Daphnia pulex: one gene and its partner. The protein of the gene in region 1 binds, or shares a complex with, the protein of each later gene. Links are inferred from orthologs where the notes say so. Each region holds a gene or a part of one and is shown on either strand. Other genes may lie near its edges. The genes, in order: transient receptor potential protein-like and calmodulin.

Region 1 (3,921 bases):
ACACCTCGTAAAAATATCCAAGCCAGGAAGAAGCTGTTTGAAGTGAAATCAATCAAGTTCCATAAATCCGTGATGTATTCCATTAGACCGTCGGACCATAATGAATGAACTTCCGCCCAGATGTGCCCTGTTTGTCAAAGAAGGAACATTTTTCAGTTGCAGATGTTGCTTATTGTTAGAATCGCAGAGTCATTCGAACCGAATATGTATAACATGATGAAAAGTTCTATAGGTCCGGGTATGGATCCCCTTTCGCGACGTTTCCAATCTTCCATGATTTCCTGCATCCATTCAGTGCCAAACCATTCAATGAGGAGGTATTCAACGCGTTGAGAAGCCAGTCCGAGTAGAGCTAAATAATGGGGAATCAGTTCATAATTGCTGCAGTCGTAGTCAAATTTTATGGCGCATTACAGAGAAAGAAGAGATACGAGGCCGAATGACAAATGAATTTGACGAAAGGTTTCTTGATGAATTTCCCCTTTTCCGTCGTTGGCGCAATCATGTAGAGCATCGAGTAAATGGGGAATTTGGCCGCGATTTTCATCGTCTCGACGATCTGGCCGATGGCCGAGCGGCGACGGAATCCCGGCAAACCTTGGTACCAAATAGCTCCCAGCAATTGTTGCACGTTTGCGTGAGCCACAAACTTTAGAACGGGTTAGGTTAGGTTTGGGGTTTTGAAAATGATTTGTTAGACGATTATAATTAGCCTGATAATACGCACATCTTTTTGGGTGTACTTGATGGCCAATTCGAGTCGGTCAAGAGTCTGGCGGTCGCCGGGCTCCCAAACTTCTTCAGAGTCGTGAGAATAGTTGAGTAGCGTCTCCAATTCGTAGGAACTTCGGACATGGTCTAGCAAAGACGTCGCAAACTTTTGGCATTGTTCTTCCAGTTGCTGCCCTCGTCAAATCATGGAAATATTTATTAATCTGCTTCTAATTTAACTCTGGTCAATTATAATTAGGTCCGTACCTTGTAGTCGACGGTGAATTCGGATTCGATGATGGACATGCGGTTCAATTCGTTGCTCAACTCGAAAGCCGTCAAGACGGGATCCTTGCTGGACAGGGCGATAAGAGATGGCGAAGCTAGTGCGCGGTAGGCATTGATCCTAGAGCGGGAATGACGCAGAGAATCGGCCTTGCTGGAAGCAATGCACTCATCGCAGCCGCACCTGTTCAATCACAATCGATTCATTAATTATTATTGATCCTGATGGGTTTTTTCTTGTAATTACCGGACGTCATGGGGCATAGGTAAGGCAGCGCCACGATCCAGCAGGAGTTTCAGGATCTCGTAGTTGTTCCGGTGAGCCGCCAGAATGAGTGGAGTGATGTCGGGCGTAAAAGTGGCATTTTCGCTGTCCAGCGTTTCCCAGCTCTAGAAGAAGAAAAACAGTAAAAGAGAAATCCTTTTTGCTCTTTCAGCGATTATAGAAATGTCTAGACGTACGTAAGGAGTGCCATCCTTGTGGTTTTTTTCTTCCCATTCAAGAAGTAACTCGACGGCCTCGACGTAATCCTCGCTGATGGCGTGCAGGAGCCCGTCAGACACTTTAATGCCACCTTCGAGCAGGACTTCAAGCAGCTCGTAGCTCTCGTTTTCGATGGCGATAACGAGCGACGTACGACCCAGCGGATCCGTGCAGTTCAGGTTCAAATCGTTTGGGCGATCCTTGTAGTCTTCTATCAAGCTGTAGAATTTTGTCAAATTATTTGTTCCAATTTTAAAGGGCTCCTCTAACCAAAATTCGGTGCTATGCAGATGTAGGATTCACTTAATCCCTTAAGATATAGGATATATGACCTTCGCCATGTCTTGAACAAATAGGACAATGCGCTTTCAGTGTCACGTTCTGCAGATGCAATACCTTTTCTCCTTTTTTTTGTGTTAAGGTCAATAGCGACAAGAGCAAATAACAAACTGGACGTCAGGGGGTTTTGACTGTTTCTTATACTGATATTCTAGGAATGGCTGTTTTTCATCCGCTCAAAAGTTGACGGAGAAAAAGGAGTTGGTGCATGAAGGAGATTTTCCAAAAGGAGAGAAAAAAAAATAGGGAACTCTATTGAAAGAAATCTGTTTCCTGCTGGATCTGATGATTCGATTTTCCGCGTGCCTTTGCACGCGGGAAAAAAAGGAAGAAAAAAGTTGGGTTTCTTTTCTTTTTTGGGTCCCTGCAGTAGTATTTATGTAGACACTAGGAAAAGCGCTCCTTGTTGAGTCTTACTCGGAAGTCCTCGAGCTTAAATATGTGGGAGGGGAGAAGGGTGGACAAGTTTTCTCCTTGGGAGAGGGGCTTTAGCTGTGAATAAGGATATGGAACTGGCAAATCGGTCGGGCGTGTGACTGACTAAACATTGAGTTGAAATCGGATTCTTGTTGGTTCGCAGCTAGCACTTGAGTTTGAGGTCGGAATTGGCCATTTTTGCAAGGAAATGGAATTTTGGGACCAACCTGCGGACTCCGTTGAAATCACCGCGCTCGACCAGCAGCAAATATCGTTTCTCTTCGTTTTTCAGGATCGACTCGACGGGCGGGCCCATCACAAACTGCGGATCTTCTTTGATACTTATCTGTCGCATGGTCACAAGGTCAGTTTCGTCATTTTTAAAAATTAAAGTTATGTCATTTTAATACCAGGCTCTGCTGCGAGTCTCGGGAGATGAGACCCTCCCGAGAATCCGATTTCTTTTTTCCTTCCATTCTTTTCGCTGCACCGGAATAGATTCAACTTTCTAAATTATTAAAACATTCACAGGTAATAAAAGGCGATACTTACACATGATGATGGCCTACCATCCAGGATCGGACGGACTCGTTGGATTGTCCGAGCGGCCAGCTGGCGTGCCGGGCTACTGAAGGCTCTGCAAAACTCGTCCACATACTTCCTCGTTTTTCGGTGGAATCATTCGGCTATTTTCGACTAACTAATCTTGTTAGGCGTCAGCTCTATCTACACACACACACAACATACTCTCCTGTGTGTTAGTTTTAGAATTTTGCCATTCTTCTTTGTCCCGATGTTTCACTTAAAAGGATTACTCTATGGTGGTGGCTTCTATCAGAACACGTATAGATATTCCCCGGCTGCCCTTCAAAAACAGTGGCCCCTCTCAATCTGCTGTCCGGCTATATTTTGGTCCTTCCTATATGTACATCGTTTGATTTATCACGATCGAAATTATTGATGTATTCGTCCATTTTGGTATTTTTTTCCCGGGGAAATCTGGAAAAGGGGGGCACAGTTATGCGCTTATAAAATGCTGCTGCTTTGTTTTGTTATTATTATTTTGTTTTTCTTTTATATGTACTTCCTTCTTCTCATGTCGTTCGTGATCGATTTTATATCAGTTACACCCGGTGGGGTATATGTATATAGTATAGGAGATGGCTCCTCCATGTCAAGGCTTATTCTTTTTGAGTAGATTCATCCACGACATGGTTATACGGCTGAGAATGATGAGAGGAATTTGTATGCGGTTTGGAAGGGTGGAGTAACTCGAGTATCTGCATGGACACATCACAGAGAAACCTACATGTATACAGGCGGACTGTGGGCCGGCCTATCAATTCACGTTCGCCAACCGTGACGGAACGTGAAGCTACATATAGTCTGGAGTAGTAATAATAGTCTGCATCGCCGCTGATCACGTCTATAGCCTATACATATGAACTATTTTGCCGCTCTCTTTTGTGGCTGCTGCTTCCGCACAACAAAAAGAAGGGACCTAATATCGATCCATCGCCCGGCTCGCCTTTCTATTTTCAGGATATCCACTCACTTGCTGTACAGTTACATCCTCTACATACATGCGTCCATGTAAATTTCTCTTGTCGCTGATATTTGTGATAAATTTACCGAAACATTCAGAACGTTTCACGCACGGATCGTCCAGTTTCTCCCAAGGCCGG
Region 2 (3,924 bases), on another chromosome or scaffold:
CAACTGAATCGTCATCTCTCTTTTCGGTTGACTCTTTATTTTTTGGACCAGCCGCCGTTCCCAGGGGAATTTCTAACGTACAGAGTTTTACAGCGTGTAACAAGAAGACCAGTGAAAACAATTTCCGTGGTGATCGCCCCCCACCCGCCCGACCCTTTTTGGTCTCGCGTCGATTTGATTTGTCCGCCGCAAATAGAAATTAGATTTTACCAATGACTTTTCCCATTTTATTGACTTGCGTGAACGAATTCGTCGCGTACCTTTTTTTTATTTTCACTGGCGCGATGTCGTACCAATGCGGAAAGTTAATTGCATTACATTTGAAAAGTCTGCAGCACCCAACACTTTCTGCACGATGATGGAATTTAAATATTTGACTTTACACTCAGATATTTCGGCATAATTCAGTTAACGGCAAACACAAGTTGCACATTATTCCGTTTCCTTCCCTTTTTTCCCCGTGTGTGTGTGTGCGCCAACTTTTTCAACTTTAGCTACTTTGTGCGGATTGATTGAAACGTTAAGTCGGAATTTGGTTTCGAAATGAAAATGAATAAATACGTACACACTTTACACAAAAGACACGTTTTGGGGCGCAGTTGAATAGATCCCATTATTCGTACTACAATAATAGCTTTCATTTGATGATATTTTCTCATTGAAACATCTCACTTTCGTTTTTGATGTTACATCTCCAAGGCGGATGTATAAAGTGAAAGTTACAAAATCAAGAATTTCCCATAGTGTGCGAGTTTACTCTAGCCTTTTGAAAAGGATGTAGATTTTCTATTAGTTTGGTGGCTAGACTTCTTTTATAAAAAAAAACCCCAACTTTACCCACAGGGGTGCCCTGTAACAATGGTCGAATTTATTTCCGGTCTGAGAGTTGGTACGAATTTATAACATTGGCAACCAATATAGCCCACGCATATATAGGATGTCTTTGAGAGAAGACATGTGTATAGTTTAGCAGCAGCAGCAGCAGCAAGGTCAACAACATTCCGTCTCGCACTGAAGCGTGTCAAGCATAACGCCGAGCCTTTGCAATTACGCCAAATAACATTCGCCACTCTAGCGCAATATCATTTCTATTCAGGGCTGATGGTCTCTCCATATATATAATAAAACCCGAAACTCATATGGACTGACGGTATATAGAAAAGCTTAGAGCTTATACTCATCATTCTTGACGTCTACTGTGCTGCATACATACTACTGCGACGCTGGGACGGCCATATGACAACTTGTATCGGAGTTGATCCGTCCCTGACGGTGTGTGTGTGTGTACCACCGCATTGCTCAATGACTCCCGATTTTGAAAGTCTAGAAAAAGAATTACGGTAAAAGAAGGAGAGAAAAAAAAAAGTCAACTTATTTTATTTTTTGAGGATTCGAAATAGTAAGAAGGTTGCGCTATACCCGGTCAATATACGTAGAGAGAGAAAAGGGCTTCTTCCTCCTCTCCGCAATGTGCATGTGGCGCCTCTAGTCGGGCCCCGCCTCTTTTCCCACTCTCTCTCTTCCTCCGAGCATTCGGCTCAGTTGGCTGTCGTCTGTTGTGCTTGGTGAACGTCCCCCGTCGCTGCTCGTTGTGGTACCGCCTTTGCTCTCTCTCCTGCCCCGTCGTCCAGGATAACTTAGTTTTTTTCCCCGACAACTCTCTATTTCATCCAATAATATCCACTATGGTAAGTACTTCCACGTCGGCATCCTCTCCCAACCGGCACACGAAAATTCCGCCATTTTTAGTGCCTAGCCTACACTTGACGGAAATATAGATTTTATGACTGGAGAAGAGTCGGGTGGGTCGGGGGGAGGGGGAAGTAAAATCAAACGACCTTTTTCTTTTTTTTTTTCTTTTTTCCTATTTTCTTCTCAGATAGTTGTCGCTTTTGACATTGCCGGCTCGTTGTACTGAAACAGGGGGCAATTTGGCCGTCATCGCCCTCGAAATGTCGAATGCTTCTTTCTTTTCTAATTTTGGAGTAGCTCGTAACAGCTTGCTGCTGCACACGTCAATTTAAGCTCGGCACACAACCAGACTTGAAGCTCTCAAACAATATGGTTGCACACTGACCAGACAAGGCCAGTAGTAAAGAGAAAGTTGGTACTGCTAGATTTATTCAGGGCAAATTTACACAGTCTGGTTTGAGCAATGTTAATACCAATCAAGGCTCTCTCTTTATTACTCATGTTGAAATGTCTTGGAATTCTCAAGACAATTATATTAACCAGAAACATTTGTACCTCTACAGGCTGACCAGTTGACAGAAGAACAGATTGCTGAGTTCAAGGAAGCCTTCTCCTTGTTTGACAAAGATGGTGACGGCACCATCACCACCAAAGAGTTGGGAACTGTCATGAGGTCGCTTGGACAGAACCCCACTGAAGCTGAACTCCAGGACATGATCAATGAAGTTGATGCTGATGGTACACACATTATTCAATTTTTCTAATTTATTGCAACTCCAATAGATTATCAAGTATTCTGACAAGTTTGTTTTTGCTGCTTAAGTGGCTTGACTGCTTGATTCTTGGCAGTCAAAAGACTTCCTGAAATATCTGCTCTCTGCTCGCAGAACTTTTCTTGAATGAGAATACTGGCTGCATGTTTTCAATATCAATGAAAATTGTTTTGAACCACGTTCATTTCTTATTGTTCATTTTGTTTCTAATCATACAGAAATCTAATGTAGTTCTTATCATTCTAATCCAAAGGTAACGGAACAATCGACTTCCCCGAGTTTCTGACGATGATGGCTCGCAAAATGAAAGATACCGACAGCGAGGAAGAGATTCGAGAAGCCTTCCGTGTGTTTGACAAGGACGGCAATGGTTTCATTTCAGCTGCTGAGCTCCGGCACGTCATGACCAATCTAGGAGAAAAGTTGACCGACGAAGAAGTCGATGAAATGATTCGCGAAGCTGACATCGACGGAGACGGCCAAGTTAACTATGAAGGTAAAAACTATGATATGTCATGCTCACCTGCATCCAATTTTCTTTTATCGCAGTCGACATCGTCTGTCCGCCTGTTAAACCCTTAGATTTTTAACTAAGCCCTGCATTTACAAATAGTCAGATATCCACATTTTTAGGGAGGTTCTTGCATGCACGTGCGGGTCCCATACTTTCCCAGATGGACCAAAAAATAATGTGGAATATGGAAGTAGAAATATTAATTTAAAAAGCTGCTTTTGGTTCCATGTGTCTAGAAACTATCAAAGACGCACCTTTAATATTCTGTTGGTACACAGACGCATAATTTCTAGACTCTGTGACAAATGTCAATGTGACAACGTAACTCAATTATAAATTTTCTATTTAACAACCATGGCTTAACCTAATCCGATTTTAATCTGATTTTGGAGGCATTCACAAACAGTTTTGGTGTTAGAAACATGATGATGCATCGATTTTAAACCGAAATTAGCGCGTTACCTCTAAAATATTCATCGTCTTTCGTCGTAAAGATTCAGTCCAACCTGGTCCTTTAATATGTGACCTGAATTCCCAAGACGTTTTAAAATTTGATAGTCGATGCAGGACAACTCCTATTTTCCCCCACTTTTGTCTAGTTTATAGTGGAATCGATGATACTAACACGATTTTTCTTATCTTTGCAGAATTCGTGACCATGATGACCTCGAAATGAATAAATCCTGCGGTGTCGTGCCCCTTCCCCAGTGAGCCGTGTGTAGCGTGGACGTGGTTGTGTTTACCGAAACAACAATCAACAACAAAACGTACCATACTTTTCAAAGCAACTGTTTGTAAGACTACAACAACACCCGGCTGACGATACGCAAAACAAGAAAAAGAAAAAAAAAAAAAGAAAATAAGCCAGTTGTCATTGATCTTTCGAGGGCGGCATCCATTTTGTGAAGGGAAAATAACATCACCAGATTTCTGTTTCAAATAGTT

The links.
Region 2: the proteins of transient receptor potential protein-like (region 1) and calmodulin are in contact, whole or in part, in a crystal structure (PDB 7CQV), measured with the Drosophila melanogaster proteins. The link is inferred for Daphnia pulex from reciprocal best matches to the Drosophila melanogaster genes trp and Cam. Residues at the interface, in NP_476768.1 of Drosophila melanogaster: Gly804, Lys805, Met807, Glu808, Arg809, Ile811, Leu812, Asp814, Phe815, Gln816, Ile817, Val820, Glu821, Lys824; in NP_001246276.1 of Drosophila melanogaster: Glu12, Ala16, Leu19, Phe20, Lys22, Leu33, Val36, Met37, Ser39, Leu40, Gln42, Glu48, Asp51, Met52, Glu55, Val56, Ile64, Phe69, Met72, Met73, Lys76.

The regions. Positions count from the first base shown.
Region 1 is NC_060025.1:8,989,588-8,993,508, forward strand, and holds the start of transient receptor potential protein-like, read right to left. Parts: upstream 2,883-3,921; 5' UTR 2,793-2,882; coding exon 2,789-2,792; exon of another isoform or gene 2,768-2,788; intron 2,721-2,767; coding exon 2,647-2,720; intron 2,601-2,646; exon of another isoform or gene 2,583-2,600; coding exon 2,464-2,582; exon of another isoform or gene 1,700-2,463; coding exon 1,459-1,699; exon of another isoform or gene 1,387-1,458; coding exon 1,244-1,386; exon of another isoform or gene 1,181-1,243; coding exon 979-1,180; exon of another isoform or gene 971-978; intron 902-970; coding exon 728-901; intron 650-727; coding exon 415-649; intron 353-414; coding exon 200-352; intron 128-199; coding exon 1-127. UniProt on the Drosophila melanogaster protein: A light-sensitive calcium channel that is required for inositide-mediated Ca(2+) entry in the retina during phospholipase C (PLC)-mediated phototransduction.
Region 2 is NC_060018.1:7,623,678-7,627,601, forward strand, and holds the start of calmodulin, read left to right. Parts: upstream 1-1,443; 5' UTR 1,444-1,685; coding exon 1,686-1,688; intron 1,689-2,255; coding exon 2,256-2,430; intron 2,431-2,718; coding exon 2,719-2,961; intron 2,962-3,626; coding exon 3,627-3,655; 3' UTR 3,656-3,924. UniProt on the Drosophila melanogaster protein: Calmodulin mediates the control of a large number of enzymes, ion channels and other proteins by Ca(2+). Among the enzymes to be stimulated by the calmodulin-Ca(2+) complex are a number of protein kinases and phosphatases.